4 linked regions of the Saccharomyces cerevisiae S288C genome follow. The gene in region 4 interacts genetically with the main gene of each other region. Each region holds a gene or a part of one and is shown on either strand. Other genes may lie near its edges.

The links.
Region 1: mutations in EMC1 (region 4) and CIK1 together harm fitness more than expected from each alone (negative genetic interaction), as found in Saccharomyces cerevisiae (2 studies listed by BioGRID).
Region 2: mutations in EMC1 (region 4) and RPN4 together harm fitness more than expected from each alone (negative genetic interaction), as found in Saccharomyces cerevisiae (5 studies listed by BioGRID, with this or other methods).
Region 3: mutations in EMC1 (region 4) and INO4 together harm fitness more than expected from each alone (negative genetic interaction), as found in Saccharomyces cerevisiae (2 studies listed by BioGRID).

The regions. Positions count from the first base shown.
Region 1 is NC_001145.3:655,531-664,479, forward strand, and holds CIK1 (Cik1p), read left to right. Parts: upstream 1-4,214; coding exon 4,215-5,999; downstream 6,000-8,949. Other genes in the region: YMR196W (uncharacterized protein), read left to right, coding at 1-2,812; v-SNARE protein VTI1, read right to left, coding at 3,015-3,668; cyclin CLN1, read left to right, coding at 7,114-8,754. UniProt on the Saccharomyces cerevisiae protein: Together with the minus end-directed microtubule motor KAR3, involved in spindle midzone assembly, karyogamy (nuclear fusion) during mating, and with an essential function in meiosis I.
Region 2 is NC_001136.10:413,724-418,392, reverse strand, and holds RPN4 (stress-regulated transcription factor RPN4), read left to right. Parts: upstream 1-1,684; coding exon 1,685-3,280; downstream 3,281-4,669. Other genes in the region: oxysterol-binding protein related protein OSH2, read left to right, coding at 1-730; phosphoglycerate mutase family protein GPM2, read right to left, coding at 3,505-4,440. UniProt on the Saccharomyces cerevisiae protein: Acts as a transcriptional activator of a number of genes encoding proteasomal subunits. Binds to a PACE (proteasome-associated control element) DNA sequence 5'-GGTGGCAAA-3'.
Region 3 is NC_001147.6:107,263-114,946, reverse strand, and holds INO4 (Ino4p), read left to right. Parts: upstream 1-3,060; coding exon 3,061-3,516; downstream 3,517-7,684. Other genes in the region: WSC3 (Wsc3p), read left to right, coding at 1-809; YOL107W (uncharacterized protein), read right to left, coding at 1,817-2,845; ZEO1 (Zeo1p), read right to left, coding at 4,309-4,650; SHR5 (Shr5p), read right to left, coding at 5,058-5,771; MDY2 (Mdy2p), read left to right, coding at 6,051-6,689; Rab GTPase-activating protein MSB4, read right to left, coding at 6,759-7,684. UniProt on the Saccharomyces cerevisiae protein: Transcriptional activator of phospholipid synthetic genes (such as INO1, CHO1/PSS, CHO2/PEM1, OPI3/PEM2, etc.).
Region 4 is NC_001135.5:39,076-48,861, forward strand, and holds EMC1 (Emc1p), read right to left. Parts: upstream 7,831-9,786; coding exon 5,548-7,830; downstream 1-5,547. Other genes in the region: YCL049C (uncharacterized protein), read right to left, coding at 711-1,649; YCL048W-A (uncharacterized protein), read left to right, coding at 2,413-2,652; SPS22 (Sps22p), read left to right, coding at 3,090-4,481; POF1 (nicotinamide-nucleotide adenylyltransferase), read right to left, coding at 4,586-5,362; MGR1 (Mgr1p), read right to left, coding at 8,036-9,289; protein disulfide isomerase PDI1, read right to left, coding at 9,578-9,786. UniProt on the Saccharomyces cerevisiae protein: Part of the endoplasmic reticulum membrane protein complex (EMC) that enables the energy-independent insertion into endoplasmic reticulum membranes of newly synthesized membrane proteins.

The sequences.
Region 1 (8,949 bases), on a different chromosome or scaffold from region 4:
GAATGGTGAAAGGGGATACGAGGATAAAGAATTCGAAGTTTACGATATAGATGGGCTATACCGTGATAGTGAAACCGGTGACAACCCTTATTTCGATGTTTTTTTTGAAATGGCAAAGGATGACGAAAACCCTAGTGAACTGAACTTTCGGCTAACTATACATAATCGAAGTAAAATCGACTCTGGTGAGCTCTACATAGCTCCCCAACTTTTCTTCAGAAATACTTGGGCTTTTGACGGTACTAGAACAAAGGACAAGCCCTTGCTTGAAAGAGATGCAGAAGCAGCGAACTTAATCAATATGACTCACAAGAAATATGGTAATTGCCAAATGGTCTTTCAGCCATCTCCAGGTGGGTTCTCTTCCGGTACAAACGAGGAAGAGGAAGATAAAGAGGTAGAAGATATAGATCCTCTGCTGCTATTTACCGATAATGAGTCCAATTTAGTAAAACTATTTAACGAAGAAAAGAATCCTTCCGAGTACACAAAGGATGCTTTTGAAGAATATCTTGTTCAAGGCAAAACCGATGCTGTAAATCCTGAAAATAAAGGAACAAAGGCCTGCGCAGTATATCACTTCAAAAATATTCCGCCCGGAGAGTATGTTACTGTGAGATACAAATTTACAAATGACCCAAAAAACTCTATCTTTAAGGCACAAAACCTGGCTGTCGTAGATGAAGATGAGTTTGATTTGATTTTCGATAACAGAGAGGAGGAAGCTGATAACTTCTACTGGAGGATTACACCTTTGCCAATCAGTGATGAATTAAGAAACCTTCAAAGACAAGCTTTTTCTGGTTTGCTATGGACTAAACAGTTCTACAATTTTACATATGATGCTTGGTATAATGGTGACGCCAATGTTAAGCCTCGCCCTCCCCCTAATAGAGCTAATGGCAGGAACAAGAACTGGAAGCACCTTTACATCGAAGATATCTTATCAATGCCCGACAAATGGGAGTATCCATTTTTTGCTTCATGGGATACTGCGTTTCACTGCATTCCTTTAGCTATGATTGATCCAGAATTTGCAAAACGGCAATTGGATTTATTAACCAGAGAGTGGTACATGCATCCTAACGGTCAAATTCCGGCATACGAATGGAACTTCAATGACGTAAATCCACCAGTCCATGCATGGGCTGTGTATCGTGTTTTCAAGATCGAAAGAAACATGTACAACCGTGAAGATCGTACATTTTTAGAACGAGTTTTCCAGAAGCTTTTGTTAAATTTTACATGGTGGGTCAACAGAAAGGATACTGAAGGTAAAAATGTTTTTGAGGGCGGATTTTTGGGTCTTGATAATATTGGCGTTTTCAACAGATCAGAACCACTACCCACTGGCGGTACGCTTGAACAGGCTGATTCTACAGGTTGGATGGCCTTTTTCAGCCTTCAAATGCTAAATATTGCATTAGAGCTCGCCAAAGAAAACCCGGTTTATGAAGATATTGCCTCTAAATTTTTTGAACATTTTATCTTAATCAGTGACTCTATGTCCTTTGAATACGCTACTGATATTACGGGAGAGAAATGTAAAGAAGTTATCAAACAAAACCTATGGAATGAAGCAGACAAATTTTATTACGATGCCATCTCTTGGGGTGACCACAAGGTGCAACTACCAATAAGATCTCTCGTGGGATTGATCCCACTATATGCTTCTATGACTTTAGAGCCTAGTATCATAAAACAATTCCGCGGTTTCAAGAAGAGGGTTGATTGGTTTGTGAACAACCGTCCAGAAATCTTTGATAGAAACATTGCGTCCATGTCAAAAAAAGGAGTGGGAGAAAGACTACTTTTATCCCTAGTTACTAAGGAAAGATTAACAGCCATACTGTCACGTTTGCTGGATGAAACTGAGTTTTTGTCACCATATGGTATTAGATCTCTTTCCAAATATCATGAGAAGCACCCATTCGAAATGAATGTAAATGGTGTCGAATATATGGTCAAATATTTGCCGGGCGAATCAGACTCGGGTATGTTCGGCGGTAATTCTAACTGGAGAGGGCCCATTTGGTTTCCTACCAGCTTTTTAATAATGGAAGCATTACAAAGGTTTTACCTGTACTACGGTTCCGACTTCAAAGTAGAGTGTCCCGTAGGTTCAGGAGATTATTTGAATCTTGCTGAAGTTGCCGAAGAACTTGGATATCGTATGATTCACTTATTTGTTCCAGACGAAAACGGGGAGCGCGCCATTCATTATGGTGATCACTCTAAGTTTCTGTCTTCTGATCCATATTTCAGGGATTATGTGCCATTTTTTGAATACTTTGACGGTGATACTGGAAGAGGGCTTGGCGCTTCACACCAATGTGGTTGGACTGCTCTTGTGGCCAAATGGATAAGTGATGTAGGTATATCCTGTGTAAGACTACCTCGTACGCCAAGATCATCTGTGGCAACGACCGCTTCAACAGAGAGCTCTGAGCAAGGTCCCAAAATGAAGAGAATGGCAAGACGTAAGAGTGCAAAGTCTTTGGTAAACTACACTGCCACCATTTTGGACTTAACCGAAGAAGAAAAGCGCCATCATAGGATAGGGGGCACCCATTCTGGGTTGACACCACAAAGCAGCATTTCAAGTGACAAGGCTAGACATTTGATGGAGGAAATGAATGAAGAGGAAGGTATTCACGAAACTGTGGTACCTGAAGATCGTCACAACTTTGAAACCAAGCTTATAGGCAAGCTAAAAGATAAGGTGAAAAATATGAAAGTAACTGACAAGGCTAAAGATGAGGATATAGACCCAATGGACCCAATGAGTCCGTTGAATAAGGATGTGTCTTGATTAACTGCGGTGAACCTTCAATATCTGTACGTTTGAAAAATATTTCCAACGATATACCTCTATATTTTGATCTATAGAATATTTAATTGCAGTAGTTTTTTATCAGTAAGGTAGCGTTGATATTACTAGTGAAGGTAACTCTATAGTTCCTTGACATGTTCTTTAGATTCTAGAGGTTTTTTATTGAATTTGTTTTCCCACCTTATTTAAACTTTGAGAACAAAACTAGCAAAATCAATAATATAAGGACTGCGATAATGGCATAGCTTATGAATTTATTAGCAACTAGCCTTCTAGTCATTGTTTTTAGTGTCTTTATACTTTTATCCACATATGAATCCGCTTGAAACAAGGTCTGTCTTGCATTTTCCAAAGTTTCTCTCTGTGACCTTAAATCCATCATTATTTGTGACCCTATTCCTTCAGTTTCATTTGCTATTCTACTGGCATCTTTTAGTCTATCTCCCGATTTCTGTAAGATTGCATGGTTGCTCAACAACTGTTGCCTTTGGTCATCGTCAATATTAGATGCGTTAAGATCTCCAAAAAGTCTATCACGATCGCCTGAGTCTACTAAGGATTGCAGTGGTCGTTTGATATCGCTCTGTATAGTCTTCTTCCATTCTCTTAACTTCGCCTTGTACGTAGCACGTTCTGAGGCATCGCCTATGCTGTTATTAACTTCTACATCCATCTGATCTAGCAGGTCAAACAACTCATCTTGTTGCTGTTCTACGTGCTTCAGTGTAGTATTTCTCTGTGATAACGGTTGTGAGGGGGCCTCTGCTAAGCTCGCTTTGGCTTGTTCTAAGGTTGTTTTGAAGTCAGATTCGTATGATATTAATAGGGAACTCATAGTAAGCCATGCAGCAATGTAAAGAGTGCGGTTGATTCGTTTTATACAACTTAATGTAAAGCTTTACACTTTTCCAAGAATAGTAATTGCCCTATATAGCACGACTACTCCACTCCTAACTTTCATTGAAAATTAGACAGTCATGTGATCAGTAATATCGTCCATAGTGATATTTGTTTGTTTACCATTTTTGTTCTTATTTACTCTCTAATATGATTCTAGTATATGAAAGATACCACTGTCGTAGCTCGTATCAAAATAAAACTAGTCAGTCGTTGACCATTGAGCATATCGTCCGAGAATAAGGCTTTACTGTATTATTTTTTGATATCCACACGTTATTGAGCTCATTCACTGATCGACACATTTAGGCGGCTTTTCCGTTTGGCTGAAGCAACTTTGAAACACAACTACGACATTATAATTAAGCGCCTAAATAAGTGAATTTTGTGCCATAGGGTTGGACCGTGTATATATAAGAGCTATTCACTATTTTAATATTTGTTTTGGCATTTGAAACTCGTTGACATAAGCTTTATTATTAGGATGAATAACTCCAAAATTCCTAAACTTTCCTTTCATAGTGATCCAAACAACGTCACTCGAGACTTTCCAAAGACAAAACGACAGAAGGTTCAGAAAAGAGAAATGGATATGATACTAACTCCTAATAACAACAAGCTAAATATATTGCACAGCTCTGGATCTGGTATACGGCGCTGCTACACTGATGACACCTCCGCTACGTATACTAAGAAACTAACCTTTGGGGGGGACCCCAAGATTATTGAAAGGGTTAAGAACAATGAACGTAAGGTTAGAAAAGACATAGATTCACTACTGAATGCTATTTCTGAAATTGAAAAGGAATCTGTTCGTATTCATGCCAGGGAACTACCTGCAATAACATTAGAATTAGATGCAAAAGTCAAAGCGTGCAGGGAGCTACAAAATGAGATTGATGGACTATCAACGGAGATGGACTTGAAGGATAATCAATGTGATCTTCAAAGAAAGAATGTTGAGCTATCATCAAAAAATATAGTGTCTATGCATGCAGTAAAAGTACAAGAGTTCGAAAACGATTTAGAGGAAGAGCTATCGAATGCCAAAAGGGAGTGGACGTATAAATTAATGGAAGTAGAAAATTTGAAACCTGACGAAAGGTTAACTGACGAAATGCGACAGCTTAAAACAGAATTCGAGGAGGTCAATAGGAAACTATTCATTCTACAGAATGAAAATGAGAACGAGTGTAAAAACTACAAAAAAGAATTGGACAAGAAATTCGAGATATTCAAGAAAGTTAAGAACGATGCTAGAATTGAATTAGATGGGGAGCAAGAAAGACTTTCGAAAGTTTTAAAAGACCTACAAGACACCCATGGTGAACTGAAAGAAAATATTAAGACGTGTAGAGATGAGTTTAACGATTTTGAAAAAAGGATTGGAGAGGCAGAAGTGAACTTCCATAGCATGGAACTTGCCGTTGTTCCTCTCAAAAAGAAGCTTGCTTCTACATCACAAGCATTGACGCAAGTGCAGGAGGAGAAGAAGCAAGTCGAAGGAGAAGCAAACAATTGGAAGAAGAAGTACGTTAATGAACTAGAAAAGGTTCAACAGGAATTATACACACGACAAAATCTGGCCACTTCAATTGAAGAAATCAAAGGATACACCCGATGCTTTGCGTATGCCAATGAACGACAAATGCCTGATGAATTCCATATCAACTATGTGGATCGGTGCATTTGCGAGAATAGTGGAGAAAAACGGGTACAAGTATTTGATAGAGTAGTTCTCGAAGAAATCCATAAGGATCACAAACGCTTATATAACGAATGCATTCCGTTCCTGGAAAAATACATCAGCAAGTTAATTAACTGCAGCATTATAGTGGTTTCGCAGCAACCCACAGCACCAATGAAAAAGACTTTGCTAAAACAGTTAATTGAGCAGTACGGTGAGAATTATAAGATGACATTGAACATTTTGCATCTTGACGGAAGTATTAAACACAGTGACGTTGGATTAGATAACCCAACAGAAATTAGAGATCTGTCACAAGATGAAGAATGCATGAACATTTTAACTTTAGATACCAAGTTGGGAAAAGATGAAGAGTCCCATTCAATGAATATATATATCGGTAGTATGTCCACGGTACAGCTGAATAGAGAGCTTGATGATGCTCCCTCAGTCCTTTCGCATATTCTCACTAAAACAAAGCAGTGCTTTGTCTTCAAGATTAACGCTGGTGAAAACATCGAGAAGGCTCTAGCCTTAGCGGGAAAGCTGAAAAGAACAATAACATTACCTCAGCTAGATTAAGAAGGCCAGATCTTGTGCGCTACAATCACTTCGTCTCGTTCCCTTACATAAAAAACTTACGTAGCTACATTGTCGTGCGTGGCATCAACCTAATTATCCTAGCAAAATAAAAGAGAATGTTACGGGACTAACAGGCGGATGTAAATTACTCACTTAAACGCAGCCAAACATCATCGAGAACTTAGGGTAGCGTGCCACAAAATTTGCATGAATAAACTTTTGTTTTCCTAATTCGACAGCATTCCCTTGTTCGCAACACTTCACTGATAGGAAATCGAATAGCGCACACTCTCTTCTGGGACATACCCCAATGCGGTAAAGCCACGAAAACACCGCGCGTAAAGGGGTAAACAAGTCCATTCCTACAACCTCTTGGAGAAATTCTTTACCTACTACAACCCCGCGCCTGATACTTTCAGTATTCATGACAACTCGAGCCAGATCCCGCTCGTGGGCGTGTTCATTCTGTGACGATCCACTAGCGACTTCTTTGTTCAGCCTGCAAGAGACGCGTTCAAGGAAGAATTCGCGATTTTACTTCTTCGAGGGAATCTCGCACCGCGTTAGTTAGTTTCCAACCTTGAAAGCATCGGAGACGCATTTTTGGCGATTTTGCTGGATTGAGCTGAATGGTGCCAGGTCGAGGCTGGGAGGGAGACTAACTCGAAAGTGACGAAGACTCGAAAATTAAAAAAAAAGATACTGCAGAAGGCAAGATTGAGAATGGAGTAAAGGCAGCGTGGGTCCCCTGTGGAAACCGCAGTTTTCCTGCGCCAAGTGGTACCGGTGCGAGTGCAGCAATTAATCTCTCGATATTTTCTTAGTATCTCTTTTTATATAAGAATATATTTTGGAATTGGTAATGCTTATCTTCAATAGTTTCTTAGTTGAATGCACACTTAAGAGCAAATTGGCCAAGGAGTTCTTCGTTCGCTTTAATTTATTTCCTGGTTATTGTCAATTTATTCATCCCATCTCCCCAGGATAGAAGAAATTAGTGTAATTTTGCTGACAATACATTTTAACGACGATAACAATAATAGCAATTAAATAAAATAGCACTACCACCACTCCACTGCTCGTTAGCTATTTCTGTAAAATAAATAAAAAGATCATGAACCACTCAGAAGTGAAAACTGGGTTAATTGTCACTGCAAAGCAGACATATTACCCAATTGAATTGTCCAATGCAGAACTACTAACTCATTACGAAACCATACAGGAATATCACGAGGAAATCTCTCAAAATGTGCTGGTCCAATCTTCCAAGACAAAACCAGACATAAAATTGATCGATCAGCAACCGGAGATGAATCCTCATCAAACTAGAGAAGCCATAGTAACATTTTTGTATCAACTTTCAGTGATGACTAGAGTAAGTAATGGTATCTTCTTCCACGCTGTCAGGTTCTACGATCGCTATTGCTCTAAGAGAGTAGTGTTAAAGGACCAAGCTAAACTAGTTGTAGGCACCTGCCTTTGGTTAGCGGCCAAAACTTGGGGAGGGTGCAACCATATTATAAACAACGTCTCCATCCCCACAGGTGGTAGGTTTTATGGTCCCAATCCTAGAGCTCGTATTCCACGCCTTTCTGAATTGGTTCATTATTGCGGCGGGTCCGATTTATTCGATGAATCAATGTTCATTCAAATGGAAAGACATATCTTGGATACTCTGAACTGGGACGTTTATGAGCCCATGATTAATGACTACATTTTAAACGTTGACGAAAATTGTTTGATACAATATGAACTTTACAAAAACCAGTTACAAAATAACAATAGCAACGGCAAAGAATGGTCCTGTAAGAGAAAGTCACAATCTTCTGACGACAGTGATGCCACAGTGGAAGAACATATCAGTAGTTCACCGCAAAGTACTGGACTAGATGGCGATACAACTACCATGGATGAAGATGAAGAACTAAATTCCAAAATTAAATTGATAAATTTGAAAAGATTCTTAATTGATCTGAGCTGTTGGCAATACAACTTGCTTAAATTCGAATTATACGAAATATGCAATGGTATGTTTTCTATAATAAACAAATTCACTAATCAAGATCAAGGCCCTTTTCTCTCTATGCCCATTGGTAATGATATAAACTCAAACACTCAAACGCAGGTATTCAGCATTATCATCAATGGCATAGTCAATTCTCCCCCATCTTTAGTCGAAGTTTATAAGGAGCAATATGGTATAGTACCTTTCATATTACAAGTAAAAGATTATAACTTGGAATTACAAAAGAAACTGCAACTGGCCTCTACAATAGACCTAACCAGAAAAATTGCTGTCAATTCTCGTTACTTTGACCAAAATGCCTCTTCATCATCAGTTTCTTCTCCAAGCACATATTCTTCGGGAACCAATTATACTCCAATGCGAAACTTCAGTGCACAATCAGACAACAGTGTTTTCAGTACTACCAACATTGACCATTCATCGCCGATCACCCCTCACATGTACACTTTTAATCAGTTTAAAAACGAAAGTGCTTGTGACAGTGCCATAAGCGTAAGCAGTCTACCTAATCAAACCCAAAATGGTAACATGCCATTATCAAGCAATTATCAGAATATGATGCTAGAAGAAAGGAATAAAGAGAATAGAATTCCCAACTCATCATCCGCTGAAATACCACAACGTGCCAAATTTATGACGACTGGTATATTCCAGAACACAGGAGAACTTACTAATAGAGCGTCTTCGATATCGCTATCGTTAAGGAACCACAATAGCTCTCAACTGTGACCATTTTCTCATCAAGCCTACATATATACTTAATTAATAACGGAATACTACGCTTTTCCATCGTAAGTAATAATGACATTCATACTTGACATTTTAATACCAGATAATTTTAATGCCCACCTACAAACATCTAGCCTCAATATTCTTCACCTGAAACCAGCTGAATAGTAATATACCAATATTCTTTCAACGATT
Region 2 (4,669 bases), on a different chromosome or scaffold from region 4:
TAAGTTGCGTCCAAATGACAATGAAAAAGAGGAACTGTATACTTGGAAGAAGCCCAACAATACTGTTATAGGTATTCTCATTGGTAATCCACAAGTTGATAACCACGGTGAAGTGAACGTTGTCAATCACACAACCGGTGATCATTGCAAGTTGTATTTCAAAGCAAGGGGATGGAGGTCATCAGGAGCATATGAAATCACAGGCGAAGTCTACAACAAGAAAAAACAGAAGGTGTGGATCCTAGGAGGACACTGGAATGAAGCTATTTTTGCCAAGAAAGTAGTAAAAGATGGCGATCTCTCGTTGGAGAAAACTAGAACCGCTGCATCAGCAGGGAATGGGCCTACGGATGACGGAACGAAGTTTTTAATATGGAAGGCAAACGACCGTCCTGAGGAGCCATTCAATTTAACACCTTTTGCTATCACGCTGAATGCTCCACAACCACATCTATTGCCATGGTTACCCCCCACAGATACACGTTTGAGACCAGATCAAAGAGCAATGGAAGATGGGCGTTATGACGAAGCTGGTGATGAGAAATTCAGAGTTGAAGAAAAGCAAAGAGCAGCACGCAGAAAAAGGGAGGAAAATAACCTTGAATATCACCCACAATGGTTCGTCAGGGATACTCATCCCATCACAAAAGCTAAATATTGGAGATATACGGGCAAATATTGGGTTAAAAGAAGAGATCATGATTTGAAAGATTGTGGTGACATTTTTTAACACGCCTTTTTTATGCGAGCTTTTTTCCTGGTACTTGTATGTATTTTGAATGTATTTTATTGTACTGAATTGTATTTTATTCTACCGCACATTTGTTTCTTTTGGCATATATAGTATGTTTACTTAACAATAGGGATTTCCTTCAGTTTTCCTAGATGTATCAATTTAGTTATCTTTTCGAACACTTTGGTTATGTCACCATGGTCAGATGACCATATTATTTTGAAATCCATATAACCAATTACAAAGCAAGCAACAAGCGAGTAAATAAAATCGTTAGGCGGTTACCATAACCCTTCGTTACGACGCTAAAGTGCTATATAATGCCTCCATTACGGCTGCGATAGAACTGTGCCTAAATTAGCGGCAGAGGTTGAAAACCAATCATCACTAACGTATTCAATATTAATTGTTGAGAAAACCAACTACGGATTGTTATAGAGATCAAACTATATGCACTGAGAGGACGTTACTTCTTTTTTTACTACCTTTCTGTTCCTGTAATAACAAGTTCCGTGGAACTCAAAGAAAGGTGCCTCAGCCCGTACGAACCTTTCCACGGATAATCACGTGATCGCTATTACTAATAGCCGTTTACAGTGATGGTTCTAGAAAGTTCCGTTTCGGCGAAACTTGTTGAGGAGAGCAATTCTATATAAGGAAAGAATAGTTCGAAGCCCAATTTGGGGAAAGCCCGGGATGAGCAGCCTAACCCACACGGATAATTTTTTATCGTTCAAGGAGGAGGATACGTTTTATCTCTAATATAAATTAAAGATAAACCCGAAACTCTTTTTTCTTCTTGGCGTGGAATATTTAAGGAGTAGATCAGTTCCATTTTGTTCATCCTTTTCTCCTCAAGGAAGAACTCCGCTTTTTAGTTGAACTAATAGTAGATAGTACTAATAGCTAATTTGTATCTTTTCAAAAGTTTTCTAGAATTTTCAAGCAATCATGGCTTCTACGGAACTTAGCCTAAAAAGAACCTTAACGGATATTTTAGAAGACGAGTTGTACCATACTAATCCAGGTCACAGTCAGTTTACGAGTCATTATCAAAACTATCATCCAAATGCTAGTATTACTCCATATAAGTTGGTGAATAAGAACAAGGAAAACAACACTTTTACGTGGAATCATTCATTACAACACCAGAATGAATCGAGTGCAGCTTCGATACCCCCACAACAAACCTACCATTTCCCGATATTCAACAAATACGCGGATCCTACTTTAACTACCACCACCTCTTTTACGACTAGTGAAGCAACGGCCAACGATAGACAGATTAATAATGTCCATCTCATACCAAACGAGATTAAGGGTGCTAGCGAAACCCCATTGCAGAAGACCGTCAATCTAAAGAATATAATGAAAGTATCAGACCCGTATGTACCGACACGGAATACGTTCAATTATGATGTTAAAATTTCCAACGATTTTTTCGATAACGGTGACAATCTATATGGTAATGATGAAGAAGTGCTTTTCTATGAGGATAATTATAATCCGAAAATGCAGTGGTCACTTCAAGATAATAGCGCCGCAATAAACAATGAGGATGCGAGAGCTATTTTTAACAATGAATTTGACTCTGATGACGACGATATCAGTGATGATGAAGAGGATGAAATAGAAGAAAATTGTTTGCAACAAGAGCAACACCAAGAGGAGCCTTTACTGTCATTGGATGTTACACCAATCTCAATGTTTGGCTCAGATCAAAAAACGGGTCGTGCCAAGAGTTCTAGTCATTTATTTAATGAGTACAGTTACGTTGACTCTAACATGGACAGCATTTCCAGTGTTGTATCTGAAGATCTGTTAGATGAACGGGGACATGAGAAGATAGAGGATGAGGATGAGGATAATGATCTTGATGAAGACGATATCTACGATATCTCTCTCTTGAAGAACAGAAGAAAGCAAAGTTTTGTCCTCAATAAAAACACTATTGATTTTGAAAGATTTCCATCTCCCTCAACCTCGGCAAACGTACCGTCTACTGCTACTACCGGTAAAAGGAAACCAGCAAAATCATCCAGTAACCGTAGTTGCGTTAGTAACAGTAATGAAAACGGCACATTAGAAAGAATAAAGAAGCCTACATCAGCTGTAGTAAGCTCAAATGCTAGTAGGCGGAAGCTAATTAATTATACTAAGAAGCACTTATCTTCACATTCATCTACAAATTCGAATTCGAAACCTTCGACTGCATCACCATCGGCCCATACGTCATCTTCTGACGGTAATAACGAAATATTTACGTGTCAGATAATGAATCTCATTACAAATGAACCGTGTGGTGCCCAATTTTCAAGGTCCTATGATTTAACGAGACACCAAAATACCATTCACGCTAAAAGGAAGATTGTCTTCCGTTGCTCGGAGTGTATAAAAATTCTTGGATCTGAGGGCTATCAGAAGACGTTTTCGAGACTGGATGCTTTAACAAGGCATATAAAATCGAAGCATGAAGATTTGTCGTTAGAACAACGTCAAGAAGTTACAAAATTTGCAAAGGCTAATATTGGTTATGTCATGGGTTAATTAAGGTTACAAATTATATAGGAGATAAAAGAAGAAAACCTCACACAAAATGGAAATACATATACACATCTATATATATTTACAATATATATCATATATCTGCATTCAGGAATGTTCTTATAAATATCACATTTTTAAAGTACCTCATTGGACTTATAATAAGTTTTCTATTGGTTTTCATTATACTTCGGAAAATACACAATTATATTATATACTTACCCCCCTTAAGGATTTTTTATGAAACCCTCATTACGGACTTTCTCAGCATTGATCTTAGCAGATTCAGGATCTAGGTAGAATTTTCTGATAAACTTAAGACCATTATTCTTATCTAATTCAACGACTAAGGGGATACCATTTGGAATATCAACATTCTTGATGTCATCATCTGATATACCCTCCAGAATTTTCAGTAGCGATCTCACTGAACTTCCATGGCCCACAATCAGGCATGAAGATTCATCATATTGATTGGCTAATTTTAATATGACATTTTGTAGAAAAGGATTCAATCTATAAACCACTTCACGAAGAGATTCGGAATCCGGTAATACAATGTCATGATTGCTGCATTCCAATTCATATTTTATTTGTCTGTTTGGCTCCTTGAATTCGTACCCAGTAGAAGAGCCCTTCTCATTTTCTTGTTGAATCATCTCACGGTCAAGATCTACAGGTGGTGGCTTACCCTCGTAATCTCTCCTAATGAACATATATTTATCCTTACCATATTCTTTTAAAACATTCGGTTTCCTCTGGCCCTGCCAGGAACCGTAATGACGTTCATTTAGCCTCCAAGTTTGAAGAATCGGGATTTTCATATTATCCTTGTCATCACTGCCAAATTCGTCTCCAAGTTTGATTTTATTAAAGTCGTAAACAACCTGCAGTTGTGGCTTTAACTTAAATTCTTCACACATCGTTTCTATGGTCTGTTGGGTCCTAATTAAACGTGAGGTGTAACCAATCTGGGGTAATCTCAAATTATTAGCTTTACAATATTGTTCGATTAGCTCGGCAGAATGACGAGCTTGTTCTTTACCTTTTTCGGTTAGCTTAGCGTCAATCCAACCACAGAATATATTCTCGTGATTCAATTCACTTTGTCCATGCCTTAACAAGAACAATGTCATGACATTGGATGGTGTGCTTGCAGTCATTGTTTACTAAGTTAATATATCTATATTTTTTTTATGTATTCTTGGGTTTAAATTGAACAACCTCGTATTTGGATGTGTGTCTCGAAACACTTCTACGTATATATATAAGCTACTTTGGATTCAAAGATAATTTTGTCACGTTTGTTCTGGTGGGAAATTTCAGCCAAAGGGAAAAAAAAAGAAAACGGTGAGCTCCGTATTATCTTCGTCGTGGGGTGATAACAACATG
Region 3 (7,684 bases), on a different chromosome or scaffold from region 4:
CCTTGGTGCCAGTGTCCTCGAGTAGCAGCACACTATCAACTCCAAAAGTGACCTCAATGACCCCTAGTACGTCATCAACGATACCAATAGTTACCTCAGTGGAACTAGTGACTAGTGTGGTTACAAAAGCGATCGTGAGTACTTCTGATCAACATCAGGAAACAATATTTGTTACGAGGACATCCGTGGTTGAACGATCTTCTGAGGTAGCTACTGCTACTGCTGCCGCCTCAAATAATAGATCTAATTCGACTTCGAAGCAGCGTCTGAGTGGTGGAGCCATTGCCGGTATTGTTATTGGTGTTGTGTTTGGCGTAATTTTTATTATTTTGATTCTATTGTTCCTGATATGGAGGAGACGGAAATCGCACGACCAATTAGACTTGGAGGAAACGAAACATTATCAGCCCTATTCGTTCGGTGATGAGGATGCAAATCCAATAGGACCGCCTCCCTCCTCTGGTACGACAAATTGGATGAGACATTCAAGGGGTAATACAGCGGGTTCTATCGGTACAAGTAATATGTATGGTTTTTCTATGAGTAATGGTGCAAATTATAGTAGTCCTAGTTCAAACACCAGTGGAAGCATCATAAACAACTTGGCTGGCTTACAAGATGCTACGGTTCAGAAACAGAACCTTCCATCGACAGTTTTTGAAGAGGCAAATACTTTGAATAGTGCAAATGAAAGGTTCAGTGCCAATTCTTTACCCGACATGATGATGAGCGGACCATTGCAAGTGGTAAACCCTGATAATCCTGATAATCCTGAATTATCTAGTACCGTATCTCATAATCGAGCCTGAAAAACTCGCATAAACTCTCAACATTAATGGTAATCAACTGGTTCTGCTGGACGGAGCCATTCTAAATCATTAACTTTATAATATCATGTTTTATACCCTAATATTTAAACAATTTACTGCTTTTGGCACTTCAACTGTTAGAAAAAGAACAATAATATTTAGTATTTAGTTTCATTTTTAAATTTTCTGATTCACTTCATTTGCAGCTTCTAATGATGTTTGTGGTACAAAAATATAAACAATTTTAAAATATTAAAAAAAAATGCTTCCAATCGGATTTGAACCGATGATCTCCACATTACTAGTGTGGCGCCTTACCAACTTGGCCATAGAAGCTAAATCTCTGAAAGCTGCGCTCTTCAAAGGCGAACCAAGCAAGATAAATTAATATTATTATGTAAAACTATCGTTTTCCTTTTGTTGATTCCTATATCCCGGAGAAGAACTACTAATTATCAAATTATTCACCAAATGATCAAATTTAGCAGCGTAGTGAGTGCCACTATGTAGATGTTGGAATAAAAACCAACTATCGTCTATCAACTAGTAGTCATACTATCAATATATTATCATATACGGTGTTAGATAGTGACATAAGTTATTATAGAAGCTGTCACCGAAGTTAGAGGAAGCTGAAATGCAAGGATCGATAATGTAATAGGATAATGAAACATATGAAATGGAATGAGGAATAATCGTAATATTGGTACATAGAAATATAGATTCCATTATGGGGATTCCTATATCATCGAGGAGAACTTCTAGTACATTCTGTATACCTAATATTATAGCCTTTATCAACGATGGAATCCCAACAATTATTTCAAAATTCACCCATTTCTCAGTAGAATTATTAATATTGGGGAATATATGGGTTTCTATGGTTCGATAGTACTGGCGCACATTCAGCATACAAATCCTACTACCTTGGTAAAGACCGAAATGCCAACAGCCGTCATTAAATCACGATATAATAGAGCATATTTCAAGTTATATAGATCCATATATCAAGGGTTTACCATACGCTCTTCCAAAACTTGTAAAGCTAACTGTCTTCGTCTTTCTTCTACAGTCATAATTTTTTTGGCGCCTCTACTTTCTGCGATGGTGTTCCCAATATCTATATCAATATCATGAAAAGGTTTAATGACTTTAAATTTTACAACAACTACATTATAAATGAAATTGAAAATCGGCCTCAAAATCGGCTTAATTAGATCAGGAAAGAAGTAAATCAATTGAAAAGTATCAGATGCATCGCCGACCAATATTTCCTGACCACCTTGAGAATTAGTTGTTGGCAAAGAGGGACAATTCAAGGGTGCAAGTTTCTGGAAAAACCTCAAGTACGACCAACTGGCAAAAAAGGTAACCCAAATGGAGAACAATTGAGCAAAATGATGAAACCATATTATTTGGGTTACCGTCATTGTAAACATTACAAAAATGGGTAGTAATTTGAACCTAAAGTTTTTGGCCAAAAATTGAGGTGTCTTCAGATGGATTATAGTTGTTTCAGGCAATAACTGTCTATAAATGATAGGGAAACCGATTAAAATTGTGTAGTTCCCGTCTAAGGGAATATCCAGCCTTACCTTATTAGAGAAAAAAGATACTAACAAAGTCAGCATGATGATCAGAACGTTTGTAAGAGAACCTAAAACTATGATAAATTTGAACATTTCTTTGGAAGAGTTCCAATTGCGTTCAATGAAGGATCCACCAATGATCAAATTCAATAAGTTCACTACCACCTTCCAAGCTTTAGTGTCGATGAAGTTGGATAGAACTAATGAGGTGGGGTACCTCCAAATCTGCGAAGGTACCATTTGCAAAAGCGGCGAAGTAATCAAGTTGTAGTCCAAGTTAGGGTCTTCAAGAACTAGCTTGTTGTACAAGGATCTCCTTATACAGAAAAGGGTTGCAGTTAAGCATATATAAGTGACTGTAATAAATTTAGTAGCATCAGGAATCTTATTGATATTTAAAAATGAATCCGGGATATTCAATTCTAGGAACCTCGAACTATATTGCATTATAGTGAACAAATATCTTTGTTATAAATAGATTAGTCGTCTTCTTTTTCTTGGCTTGGTTTGTATGAGCTTGTTACGTATCAAACAAAATATTCACATGTTTTTCTCACCTTAAAGACAGAGGCGCGATTGCGTTTGCGAAATTCCAATGCCAACAAGATAAGCTTGACGAAGGAGTTAAGAGGGCGGCTTGAACTAAAAAGAGAAAAGCAATAATGACGAACGATATTAAGGAGATACAAACAATACAGCCGGGATTGTCCGAGATTAAGGAGATAAAGGGTGAACTGGCTAATGTGAAGAAAAGGAAACGCAGGTCTAAGAAGATTAATAAATTGACTGATGGTCAAATACGTATAAATCATGTTTCGTCTGAAAAAAAAAGGAGAGAATTGGAAAGAGCTATATTTGACGAACTGGTAGCAGTAGTACCTGACCTGCAACCCCAGGAAAGTCGGTCAGAACTAATCATATACCTGAAAAGCTTGAGTTACTTAAGTTGGTTGTATGAAAGGAATGAAAAGCTGAGAAAACAAATCATAGCTAAGCATGAGGCAAAAACCGGCAGCAGCAGCAGCAGCGATCCCGTACAAGAACAAAATGGAAACATTCGGGATTTAGTACCGAAGGAGTTAATTTGGGAGCTGGGTGATGGACAGAGTGGTCAGTGATTCAAGGAGTAGGGTAAAGTAAGTAATATAAGCGAAGAAATTCTTCCCATACCTTTTCTTCACTTTGCAGAGGGGAGTGGTGCATATCCCACAAAGAAAAGTAGCAACAACAATGATATATATACGTTACTACTAATGCTTTCCTTCATCGAAAGTGTGCCGAAGTATTTATTTAATCTTTTAGTGTTCAACTTACTATAATGTGATACTTTTTCAATATTGTTTGCCGTTGAAGCGATAGTGCTTTATGTCATTTTATCTTTCTTTTACATTGTTTTATTTTAGAGCTAAAATTGAACATCAGTTTGCAAGAAGTCAGTTGGTTGGCCTTTGCTATTAAGAGACCATAATGTTATAGTGATTGAGATCAGTTTCACCAACTAATAACAATTAACCCGGGCGGTTAGTGTAGTGGTTATCATCCCACCCTTCCAAGGTGGGGACACGGGTTCGATTCTCGTACCGCTCATATTTTTACTTTCTTATCAAACTTTTTTTCCTCCGGGACGTGAAATAACCGCCGAGGTTATTCTCGGAGCATTCTTTTTTGTGGCTTTTGATCATCCATCATCATCATCATCATCATTATTACTACTACTACTACTACTACTATTATTATTATTATTATTATTATTATTAGTATTATTATTATTATATTGATTAGTTATTAGATAGATACAATTAAGAAAAATTTATGTAAAAGGTCAGAATAAACAGCATTTTTCTCCTCTTTTTTTATTTTTAAAAAAAGAAAAAGAAACTTCTAGTAAAGTGCAGCACATTCAAGTGTGATTAGTTGAAAATGGAAGCAATTTTACGGTTCAATTTCTTCAAGAAACCGCCTTCCTTCTTGGTTTCCTTCTTCTCACTGACGGCGGCGGAAGCTTGCTTCTTAGTTTCTTCAACTTTGTTGGCAGCTTCGGTCTTCTTTTGTTCGACACCATCAGCAATGTTTTGTTCTTCCTTCTTCACCTGTTCAGCTTCTGGAGTAGCTTCATTTTTTAGGTTGTCGATAGAAGCTTCAGCTTGTTCCTTTACTTCTTGGCCCTTGTTTTGCAAAGATTCTTTGGTTTCTTCCAACTTTTGTTGGACATCTTGGGCGGCAGTTTCAGCTTTGTTTTGAATTTCAGACATTATTAATTGATATAAACGTAGTTTTGTATGTTTCTTTGATTTGAACTTTTAAGTATACAGAGAAAAAAACCGATCAAAGAAAACTAAAGTATAATGAGGTTAAAAACGAAAGTAATAAAGTAGAAAGGCTATCAAGCAAACTGAGATGATCTTCGACGTAAAAACTCGCTCTATATATATACGCCATATAAGCCCATCGGCGATGGGGGACAACACGAAGAAACAAGAGAAGAGGAGAACCGCACAGAAAGCAGCAGAAACAGAGCAAACCAGCATTAACTAAAGATGATAAAAATAAAATTAGGTAAGAAACCTTAATTGGATATACAAAAATACACTGGAGGCACAAATCGCCATCGATATAAAACACGATAAAGCCCTGGTGCACCCATAAACCACACGTTTAACTATTTGGGTCGGGGCACGACGAAATCTAGGGATAGGCACCCGGACCGTCGGGGCAATACTAGGCGCACACCGCGCTCGTGAAGCAGACCTCCCGGCGAGTTTAGCTGCGCCACGTACTGCTCTAACGCGAGAGACTCCTGAAACACAGGTCTAGAAAGAAGGGGCCCCAAAACCCAGCTCCACAGACCGCCCGTAAGCATATCGAGCAACAGGCCACTTAAGTTACGCCACCCGAACACCTCACCTTCTTCACGCAGCAAGAATCCGTTTACCCGGTGCACAACCTCCGCGAGCTCTGCCGCACTAAGATATTCTGACAGAGGCGAGACGGAGGAGCAGCCAAACACGTGATCCCCAATGTCGTAACGCCCGCACCGCACAAAGCTAGTGCCATCGTCGCCCACGATTGCCGCCGGCTCGCTACCGGGAAGCTGTGTACTAAATTGTGGCGTTTCAAGGCTGCTGCGAGACTCATCGAACCGCCGGGGCACTCGTACCACCCGGGTCACCTGGAACTCGGCAGAGCCCCGAGCAGCATACACATTCGGGAAATGTGTAATACACAATTTGTGGTCTTCGTCGTGCTCTGTGGGTTTAGCGTCTTCGGAACCGAGGTCTTCGTAGAATGAATACGAAAACTCATGGTAATTAAAAAATAACGCCCTTTCGCTCGTATTTGCGTTATCTTCTTCCTTTTGATGGCTATCGCACATCTAGTAAGGGTTAGATTGAGTATTGTCCTCTAATGTAACTTTTTCCTCTTATTCCTCTCCTCCCCTTAGCTATTATATATCTTTTTTACCGAATCTTGAATTAGGAATAGTTTTAAAATCAGGCCGGAGGCCGAGCTTGCGACAACTACGACCAAAAAAAACAAAGGAAAAACGAAAAGAAGAAAACATGCACAGGAGAACATAGTTGGAGAAAAGGGTTAGAACAGACCGATACAGAGATAAACTAGCGAAGAATAATAACTTTATACAAAATTAATCATGAGCACATCCGCCAGCGGTCCAGAACACGAGTTCGTTAGTAAATTCTTGACCTTAGCCACTTTAACTGAACCGAAGCTACCAAAAAGCTATACTAAACCTCTGAAGGATGTTACCAATTTGGGTGTCCCGTTGCCTACTTTGAAGTATAAATATAAGCAGAATCGTGCCAAGAAGTTAAAACTGCACCAAGATCAGCAAGGTCAAGACAACGCCGCCGTCCACTTAACCTTAAAGAAAATTCAAGCTCCCAAGTTCTCCATCGAGCATGATTTCAGCCCATCAGATACTATCTTACAAATAAAACAGCACTTGATCAGCGAGGAAAAGGCCTCCCACATAAGCGAGATAAAACTGCTTTTGAAGGGCAAAGTCCTCCACGATAACCTGTTCTTATCGGATTTGAAGGTCACGCCTGCCAATTCCACAATCACAGTCATGATTAAGCCGAATCCGACTATATCTAAGGAACCCGAAGCCGAGAAATCCACTAACTCCCCTGCTCCTGCTCCTCCACAGGAACTCACTGTGCCCTGGGATGATATCGAGGCTCTTCTGAAGAACAATTTCGAGAACGATCAGGCTGCGGTTAGGCAAGTCATGGAGCGTCTACAAAAAGGCTGGTCTCTGGCCAAATAAGATTAGTATAGTTAGTACGTACATACTTGTTATTTTACACAGTTGCGCTTTTTATCACGGTTGCGCTTACTATTTTCTTCTTTCCTTTGGGCGGCTACTCGCCCTTTGTCTATTTCTCGCCATCGCCACATACTCTCTACCGCGATCAATCTTTTCCTGGGTAATACCATTCAACGCAACCTTCTTCTTCATCAGGACTTTCTCAAAGATATCATTCGGATTGAGCAATCTTTTTGGGAAATTTTGAATCACTTGCAAAATCTCCATATCTGCCTCTTCCTGCGTCTTAATCTTGTTCTTTAATCTTTTGAAAGTTGAATCAGAGTCATTACTACCACCGAAGGTGTACGAAGAGTACTGTCTAAACAGTTTCTGGCTTTTACTCTCCAAAAACTCGCTTTCGCTCAATTTCAGTATCCCCAAAGCCACTTTAAATAAAAAATGAGACTCTTCATAGAATAAACAGTCCCATATTCTCAGGGTCGTTTCGATGGGCACCACGCCCACAAAACAGCTCATAAACCAACTTGCCGTACACAGCGTCAGCGTAGGCAGCCTGCAGAGATATTCTTCCCCCGATGCTGGCCCTGATATCTGGTCAGTGCTGCCATTGCCATTCATATACGATGACTCAATGTGTGACCATATCTCGGGTAAATATTCCTTGATACATAACACCAACACCCCTTGATCCACGTTCGCACCCTCTAAGTCTGATTCATACACGCCAGGTAAATACTTACCGGTAATAATAACCAGCATCCAAAATGCTTTCTCTTCTTCCATGAACAATAATAGCAATCCAACGAGAAAATTCATCGATTGGCAGTATCCAATAGTCTTGTCATAAACAGAAAAGGCCATTAATACTCGACGCAATGATCGGATGATCGCCGGCTCTCCATTTTGGAAGGACTCCTTATGGAAATGTATATTATCGGGAAACGTTCGATAAAGATCCCGTTCTATAGCTTCCATATCTTTACCAGATACGG
Region 4 (9,786 bases):
AACTGGTGCTTGTATCCAAGAATAGCTTCTTGCTGTAGGTTATGGGAATATCGTGTAAGCTGGGGTGACTTTTGAGCTATTCGCGACGCCCGACGCCGTAATAACTACTTTCGACAGACCACTTATGACAGTATTTCAGGCCGCTCTTATAAAATGACATGTTAACAAACAGTTCTGATTATTCGCCTTTTGACAGGACGATAATGTAAATAGTTGTGGTAGTATCATTCAGGTATGTAACTGTTTACTTTGTATCGCTTGAAAAAAATAAGCATTTCAGAGCCTTCTTTGGAGCTCAAGTGGATTGAGGCCACAGCAAGACCGGCCAGTTTGAATGCTCAACTCTTCAAAAGAAATTCCTCAAATATGTCCAGTTTCATGTACTGTCCGGTGTGATTTATTATTTTTTATTTACTTTGTAGTTCTTAAAGCTAAGATTTTTTTCTTTGATAAATTCTTGTTTTCATATCCTAAAATTAAAGGGAAAATAAACAATACATAACAAAACATATAAAAACCAACACAATAAAAAAAAGGATCAAATACTCATTAAAGTAACTTACACGGGGGCTAAAAACGGAGTTTGATGAATATTCACAAGATAAAAATCATATGTATGTTTCTGATATATCGATATACAATCAAACACTTTCAAGAATTTGTTTGTAGACTTTTTGCTAGAGACCTCATCAAAGTGCTACCAACTAAGATCAACTTATACTTCTTTTAGAGAAAATTTTTTTCAATGTACTCCAAAGAGATTTAGATCCTGTCTCTTCCTCTTCCTCTTCCTCGAAAGTCAAAGAAAAATCAGAGTCTCCCTGCTTATTCAGGCGGAGAGGCTCTAGGGTAGTTGCGTTTCTCTCATTGGGACACTGAACCTCATTTTCCAACATTTTGGTCATGTAAGAGGCGACAGGCTCATCGCAGGTGGGTGCATCAACATGGTAGTACCTGGACCAAGCGCTACATTGAGTCCCTCCTGGATAAACACCGCTACAATATTGTCTTTGGACGTTTGCCCAAACCATATCTTTTGAATACCAAAGCTGGACCACATTGTATGGCCTAATCATTGGTGCTACCATAATACTGGATTGGGAAACAGTCTGGTTAATTTTTTTCAACCAATTTTTCTTATCTAGCAATGATTTAATAAACCTGAAATCTAAATTGTCTTCGTTAGCGTCTGTGTCATAATCTACAATTGAGTACTGTGACGTCCAATTATATGGCACCGAGATGGGGAATCTGTCCGGTGTTTCGTCGCTGTTATCCTTCTCCTCCCTCCAAATGCAGTCAGAGGCAGGTGCCCATTCGGTTCGCCAGTCTCCGTTATTTACTACTTGGTACTGTTCCCAATCGTAATACGTTTCCTCTGGGTTGAAGATACTTGCTCTGCTCTTGACATTGCCCATAGCCACACCACGAGAAACATCGTGGAAGATTACGGAGCTGTTTACGATAGCAGGAGCAATGGATTTGACGAATGACACTTGATAAAAGTCTTTGGTCGAAAATACAGTATCAACGCCGTCGTGGGACTCGACCCCTGGTAGAAGAAGCAGAGCATCTAGATCAACGGTAGATGCTGCAGAGGTCAAAGCCACAAAGAGGGAAGATGCAGTTACGAGGTATTTACTAAACATTGGTTCGAAGTGATTACAGATTTTTCTCTCTTGAACCCTGGAATTGCAATAGCTTGGTTCCTATTGGGACCGGACCCTCTTGCGTAAAGTATATATTTAGAAGCAGCTATTTAAATCTGAATGCAAGACGAAAAAAAGCTCGTTTATAGGAGAAAAATACCAAAAAAAGGAAAACCATACACATTCGGGTATCCCAGCTTTGCTTGCAAAATCAATCGATGAGCAAGACAAACAGGGCCAGCTGATGCATATGTTTTGTGTTGCTTTCCTACGATCAGCTAATGCGAGTGTTATAAATATTCCCCTAGTTTTCTTCTCCTCCTTTATGTAACAATAACTTGTGGACTTCCCCAACATAAGACTAAAAGCAAAGGGATAACAAGGGATTTATCTTATTCCATCCCTTTGCCTAGCGCACTGTTACGCAGCTGATCTTATCAACAAGTGTGGTTCTTGCCTCTAAGATTTACATTGCCTTTTCCCAAAGGGAAGGTGGGACAAAACTCATTTTCCCTAAGGGGAAACGTAAGATACCCTTTAGGGAAGATAAGGGAAGTTAGTAGATTGACGACGTAAATCTGTGATGAGATGAAAAAAAAAGATTAGCATCTATATAAGAAAGTACATAACCTCCATTTAAGTTGAAAAAAATTTGTATGTAATGTCTTTTCTTCCTCTTTTCTTTATTTCATTCTCACCGCTAAATCGATAACGGCTAAAACAATTAAAGCTCCCTTTTCAAACCTTATACTTCCGTTAAATAATGCAAATCAAAAACATTGTCGCTGTTCTAGCTACAGTCACTGCTATCAACGCCCAAGTTGGCATTGAACCTAACGCCACTACTCCAAATGCTACGCAGCCAAATGCTACGCAGCCAAATACTACTCTTCCTACCGCTTCGGTGACTACGACAGTTTCGATTGGCGAAGCCGTAGTTAATACCATGGCGGCGGGTGCCTTTGGAGCAGCAATCGCTGCCGGTGTTGCCTTCTTATTCTAGGAACATTTTTATTTCCTTTATTTTTTTCTTTCTTTCTAATTCCATAACCGTTGTTCAAAATTGGGGAGCTTTTTAACTTTCGTTCCATTAAGCTTTTTCTTTGTTCTTTACGTTTGATTCTATTTCAACCATAATTTATTTTTTCGTTATTTAATAATTACTAATATTTAATACTAGATGTATATACGTTGTGTGTATGCGCTACTATAGTATAGCTTAACTGTTTTATTATACCCTTTTTTTCTCTCTTTACTGTACAGAAGATGCGTCACTAATTCAAAAAAAAAAAAAAAAAAAAAAATATAAAAAAGAAAGATTTTGGAGAAGCTATATCCTTTTGTGACATACAATAGAGAAACTTGTTCTGTTGGTAAGATATCTCATCTGAAATACAACAAGGAAAACCAAAAGCCATTTTTTCATTACTTGATCGACTTATGAACCGTATTACTAGGAAAAGTTGTTTATTCGCGATTATATTTGCATCATTATTTGTGACACATGCATTGGGTGCCGCTATTGATCCGCCAAGGCGACCACATAATGTGAAGCCTTTTCATAACGGTAATCTCGAACTTCAAAGAAGAGCAAATGAACCGTTTTTTGAAATAGATGTCAAGAGTCTGAACACAAACTCACCGATATCAGAGTTGTGTAAAAAAGATTTGCACGTCATTGAATCGTCTCATGATCTTTTTCATTTACAAAACCAATGTGAATTCATCTTGGGGTCATTAAAAGTCACAAACTATGATTCTAACATTTTGGATTTGAACAGCTTGAGGGCCATTGGTGGTGACCTGATTATTCAGGATTCACCTGAACTGATCAGAATCCAAGCCGGGAACTTGAATAAAATCGAAGGGCTCTTCCAATTACAGGGACTAACCTCTTTGGTTTCTGTTGAAATTCCAACTTTGAAATTTTGTCAGTCACTGGAGTGGAAAGTTGTTCCCATCTTGAACTACGTCTCCATGGATTCTCAGAATATTGAGATTATAAAGGATATTGTCATATCGGATACTTCATTAGCAAACATCGAGAATTTCAACAAGGTTCAGGAAATTGATACTTTCAATATCAATAATAACAGATTTTTAGAAACTATTCATTCGAACGTTAAAACCATTAGGGGACAATTCAGTGTACATGCGAACGCTAAGGAGCTAGAACTTGAAATGCCACACTTGAGAGAAGTGGAAAACATAACGATTAGGGACACATCATTGGTCTACCTTCCACAATTAACAAAAGTGAAAAGCTCTTTAGAGTTCATCGAAAATTACTTTTACGAATTGAACCTGAACAATTTGCAGAAGATTGGTGGAACATTAGGAATTATCAACAATGTAAATTTAATAAAAGTTAATTTGGAGAACTTAACAGACATTCAAGGTGGCTTGATGATCGCCGATAACGAATCCCTCGAGGATATTACTTTCCTGCCAAACTTGAAGCAGATTGGAGGTGCTATTTTCTTTGAAGGTTCGTTCAAAGATATCATGTTCGATAGCTTGAAACTGGTGAAAGGTAGCGCTTTTATTAAGAGTTCATCAAACGTGTTGGATTGCAATAAATGGACAAACCCATCAAATGGAAGATCAATCATCAGGGGTGGGAAATTCACTTGTATTTCTGGTAAGAAGGAAAATACGCTGAATGTTAAACAGGATGGTACAATCATAGAAAAAGGGTACAAAGATTTAACGCAAGAAGGTGAAGACTCCAAGAAAAGAGTGATTTCAAAATACGCGAACTCAGCAAATCCAAGCATGCAATTGGACCCCCTTCTTTTTGGTACATGCCTTGTTGCTATGTTATTGTTTTAAGATTACTAGTCTAGTATAACAGAAAGTTTTTTTTGTTCCTAATATTATCTTTATCTATATACATATATCTCCATGAAAGGCATTTGAATTTCTATCTTTCTCTTTCAATCAAATATTGTCTTATTATTGATCAAATAATCGTATATGCACAATGGCAACTCGTCTTTCAAACTCTCCACTTGCCCATTCTTCAGTTTGTTCCTAATCTCGGATGATGAAACATTTCTTAATGCTGGATAATCATTTTGCATAACATGAATCCTAGCGCCCCATTCTCTTGGTATTACCGGTTCGAATTTTCCCTCAAGGATGTCACTGGCGTATCTTAGTTGCGATTCAGCACTGAGATGGCAATCGCCTCTCGCCAAGCAATATAATTGAGATCCCGACATGAAGCTCTCCATTACATCACTGATTTTTAAAGGATGATAATATTTTTCATCAAAGATCCTAGCAATTGTATCAAAACCAACTAAGTAGCCTATATCTGCACTGCATCCTTTAACAAATTGCTCATGTAATATTTTGTCCTTGTCGATGAATTTCGAGAAAACAGTCAACCCGACAGATACTACAGATTGGGGGAGCTTCTCCTGAAGGTAGTCAGCGAATAAGCACATCATTTCCAGACGAGTTGGAAAAGATGCCGGCTTAGGCAACTTATCTGCATTATTCACCGCTAACAGTAATAAAACATGCGAACGGGTGTCCTTCAATTTGAAGTTTTTAATAGTCTGCGATAGTAGTTGAAAATGGGCCAGATGTGGTGGATTGAATGAAGAATCAAGGACAAATAACTTCTGACATTCTAGATGCTGGGGTCCTTTGAGAACCTGAAATAGTAAATTGCTTTTTCGAAACTGCTCGAACGTCTTCTTCATATTAGTCTGCTAGTGCACGTACTGCTATCAACCGTCATTGATTAAGTGTCCATTTTCCAAAGAAGTAGGAGATTATATAACCACGAGTATGACGTCTTCCAGGGAAAAAAAAAAAAAAAAAAAAGAAAGCCAAAATAAGGAGCCTTGAAATGTGTATCTGATATATATAATGTGTATGTAAATATCTATTTAATTAGCCATTGGGATTTCAACTTCTTGTTTGAAACAGAAGGACGGATAAAATACGTGATCACCAACAAGACGAATATAGTAATAAGCAATTTACCCTTTTCGAAAGTAGGACTCATTAAATCAAATTGGCCCGAAGGTGTGATCCTTGTACAAAATACATCAAGGCCTAGATCACATATAATGCTTGTGGATTCCAGATTGGTTGGGATGGAGATCAACTGCGAATCGGATCCTGGCAATAGATTTCTGAAATGAGTGATAATGAAATTATCATTAATTGGGATAACTGGCGTGTATGGGGTAGCCATAAACTCTTTTTTCTTATCCTTGGCCATTTCTTCTGCTGGTTTACCTCTTGCATTCAATAAAAGCTTTGGTATGTAGGTGATTTGTCCATTTTCTAATTCCATAACGATTGCCTTTGTGGTAATATCATCCGTTGTCTTGGAAATGGACATTGTTTTGATAATCTCGGGAAAAATGAATTGTTTAGTTTGAAATTGAGGTTTGTTAATGTGTCCAGTCAATGGATCATAAGAAAAATTGTCGCTTGAGTTAGACAAACGCTCATCTGGGGTTAGTGACTCATATAATTCCACCACTACTAACTTTTGTTCTGGAACAGGTTCAGAACTGAAATAGGAATAAACGACCCAATATTCACCGAAAACAATATCCATTGGAAACCTAAAATCCGGAGAATCCTTGTGCTCTTGGGTAATGAGGATTTCTCCTGTAATGGTATCAATTAAGTTAAAAGTGATTGTATGATGTTCTTCATTAGCGATCAGATAAGCCGCTAGGTTGGGGTACAAATATTTATAAAGAACCGATTTGTCACCTAGTGTAATACCAAGAGTGTTTAGGTTTGTTGTTTCCCTCTTGCTATATGCCACCATTTTCTCTTTCGAATTTACGGCTTTTTTCCAAGTTTGTTTTACCGTATCGTTTTCGATTATGTAGCCATAAATGCCATTCGTGTCATGCTCTGTGACGAATATGTGGGAACTAGAATGGTTGTTGGCAACTATTGGTACATCCGTATTCTTGCCGGGATTCAATTTGAACAGTAAATGATCCTTATCCTCAAACTTAATCAGATACTGGTGATCATGTTCATTCAGCCTAATAACGGAATCAACAGTTTTCCTTTCAGATAGGGGGGATCTTGATTTGATAATCGGTTGATCTTTAGTAACTTCAATTGTCAAATAATGCCCATCATGCGAAAAAACAACAAGTTCGTCATGGTTTTTATCCGTCCAGAACATTTTGACGCCCTGATCAATTTCTAAATCGAGTTTCCAGATAAGTTGGCCCTTATTGACCATATCAAGGCCGCCGATAAAGCCATCATGCGTCAAAACAATTAAGATTTTGGCGAATCCGAACTTCAAATCTGATACCGTGGTATCCTTAGCGTCTAGAGCTAGGAGTTTAGTGAAGACACGTCCTGGTGAGAATTGGTTTTCTTTCAATAAGTTGATAAGGCGATTCCAATTAGTTGTCAATCTAAGCCAGTAAGCATTCCAAAGCGAATTTGAATCAAGTTCCGCTTTCATATCTTTGTTCAACTCCACATCCCTAGAATCGAAGACGTCCAATACAGCATAGTCTACCACGTTAGTCAACCATTCATCTCTTTGCCAAACGGGGATCAATTCTGTGCCATTGGCAGAGAATCCCATATATTGGGTATCATTAACGTTCAACACTAACGCCAGGGGATCTTCACGATGAAAATATTCCACTTTATTGAACCCTTGAGGTAACTCCAATTTCCATTCTGCCAGTTTTGACTGCTCATCGAGAATATGTAGTTCATTGTTCTTAATAGATACTTGATCGTTTAAATATGAGGATTGAGGTAAAATGGTCGTAGAAGGGGCATTATCTACGCCTTCCTCTAGTAAAAACCAATCGTGTAAATCATATTTCTGCCAATGGTTGCTTGAAGAGTTCACACAAACCATTGCGTTATGGTCATTACTATCCAGTTGAATCTCATCAATGGTAAAGGGTAAAACGTTTCTGAAAAGAATCTGTCCGGAAGAAACGTTAAACGAAGAAACTAAGCAGGAAGTTTCGGTAGGGTTCGATAAGATGAGAACCCTGTTGCGGTCTCGAGAATCAGGGATGACTTTCTCCCAAGGACCTAAGTTAGCCAGTTGCCAATCAGTGATAAATGCATCATCTGAAAAAACGGCTTGGACACAACTCGTGTTTAGGAAGAGTAAAATGAAGACGTACACCAAGTCTGTACACGTTATCTTCATTGCTATGGGGGAAGGGGAGGATGAAAGTGTTGATATGAATGTAGGTATTAGTTATTAATGGAGTGTATATATATATATGTTATTATATATTTGCATATATAATATGAAATCCCAGCCATATTTTCTCTGGTAGCCGTCTGAAAAATCACGGTGTACGAAGAAGGATTTAATATACGCACGGTACAACTAAGCAATCCGCAAAGACCTAATGTGTCTTTTCATTAGTGAGAGCCTTGGGGGTAGGCCCTGGTAACGGCTGGTCCGTGCTAGTGGGTGTCTTGGTATGGGAGGGCATGGTAGTTGGTATGAATTTGATGCTTAGCGAAGTTTCTAAGGCCAAAGTCATCCATGGATCATAAAGCGATCTTATTGTATCGAGATCAATATCTTGCGGGCCTTTCGTGTCATGGGGCAAAATGACACCTCGGGAGAGTGTGGTGCTGGATCTCTTCTTTACTGGTGCGGAAATGGAATCTCCCGAAGATGCTAAGAAATGCAGTCTTTTTTCCACATTTTGTAGATGGAGTTTTTTGGACTCGGAAAGACCTTCAAGGCCAGTAGAAGAAGACTGCGGATTGTGGGATATGGAATTGATGAGTTCAATGGAATTTTCTCTAATGTTTCTTTTATTTTGAAAAAACTCGAACATGTCCAAGTGAAATTCCATGCGATTGAGGTACTCGTTGAAAGACATGGGCTTGTATTCCAAGGGTCCGAACCATTTAATAATGGGATTCTGCGCCTCAACTTGCGCTCTAGCGAGAGCGACGCTTTGTTTGACCTCAGGGATATTTGTCGAGAGAGGAGTACCGTTCATAGCATCCTTGACTTTTATTTTGGTGGGGTCTATGCCCTCGTGATAATATTTGACAATATTGTTGAAAAACTTCTTGTCACGTACGGATTTCATTTCGTCGCACCAGGGGTCGTATTTAAGAAAGTTCAGGCGAGTAAGCTCCAACAGTGACTGAGAAAGTAGCAAAGAGCCAAACAACCCCCATAAGAGCTTTCTGACGCTGACGAATCGAGATTGGCGAGGTATGATGGGAGGAGGGGCGAGCACAATGTCACCATGGGTGGTGGAGAAGCGGTTCAAAGTTGGAAAGTCAGCAATATCCTTTTTGATTTTAGTCTTGCCATTGACAATCATTTCACTGGGTAGTTCGCCAAAGGATAAATCCGAGTGAGTGCCAGTGGCAATGCGGCGCGGTGGCGGTAGTTTGTAGAGCCTTCTCAGTCTCCAAAGGGCAAAGAAACCCACTGCAGATTGGATAGTGATTAGAGTGTATAGTCCCGGTAGGTTATCAGGAGCGGGTACGAGCGGACCCCACAGTTTTAAGCCTAAACTTGGCCTTATGTAGAATTTCTTGATATCATTATCATCTTTGTCGTGGTCATCTTGTGTGTGAGTATGGTCGGTGGAATTGCTATTACCTGATGGAGGAGTAAATACAGCCATCTTTTATTACGGTAATTGGAAAAGGAGAGGGAATGGAGGAGGATGAGATAAGTAGTTTCCTAAGCAGTAAAGCAAGTGTCCACATTTAAGTAAAAGACGATGCCATGCACTTATTATTACTACGTGGTCAATTTTCTCTTTCCCTAAGGCGTTCGTGCAGTGTGACGAATATAGCGAACAACTATTGTGTTTGAATTTTAACGTTTATCTTTTTATGATTTTTTTAAAAAAACTTCCTAGAAAATTTCTTATATATCTCTATTTAATGAAAAACCAAAGTGATCAGAATTACAATTCATCGTGAATGGCATCTTCTTCGTCAGCCAATTCAGCGTCAGCATCGGCTTCCTCAGCAGCTTTTTCCTGGGCTTCTTCGTACAAGGCCTTACCGTCGACGTCGAAGTGACCGTTTTCCTTGATGAAGTCGAATAAAGAGTCCAAGGATCTTGAACCTTGGTACACAACAGATTCGGACTTCTTACCACCTGGGTATAAGA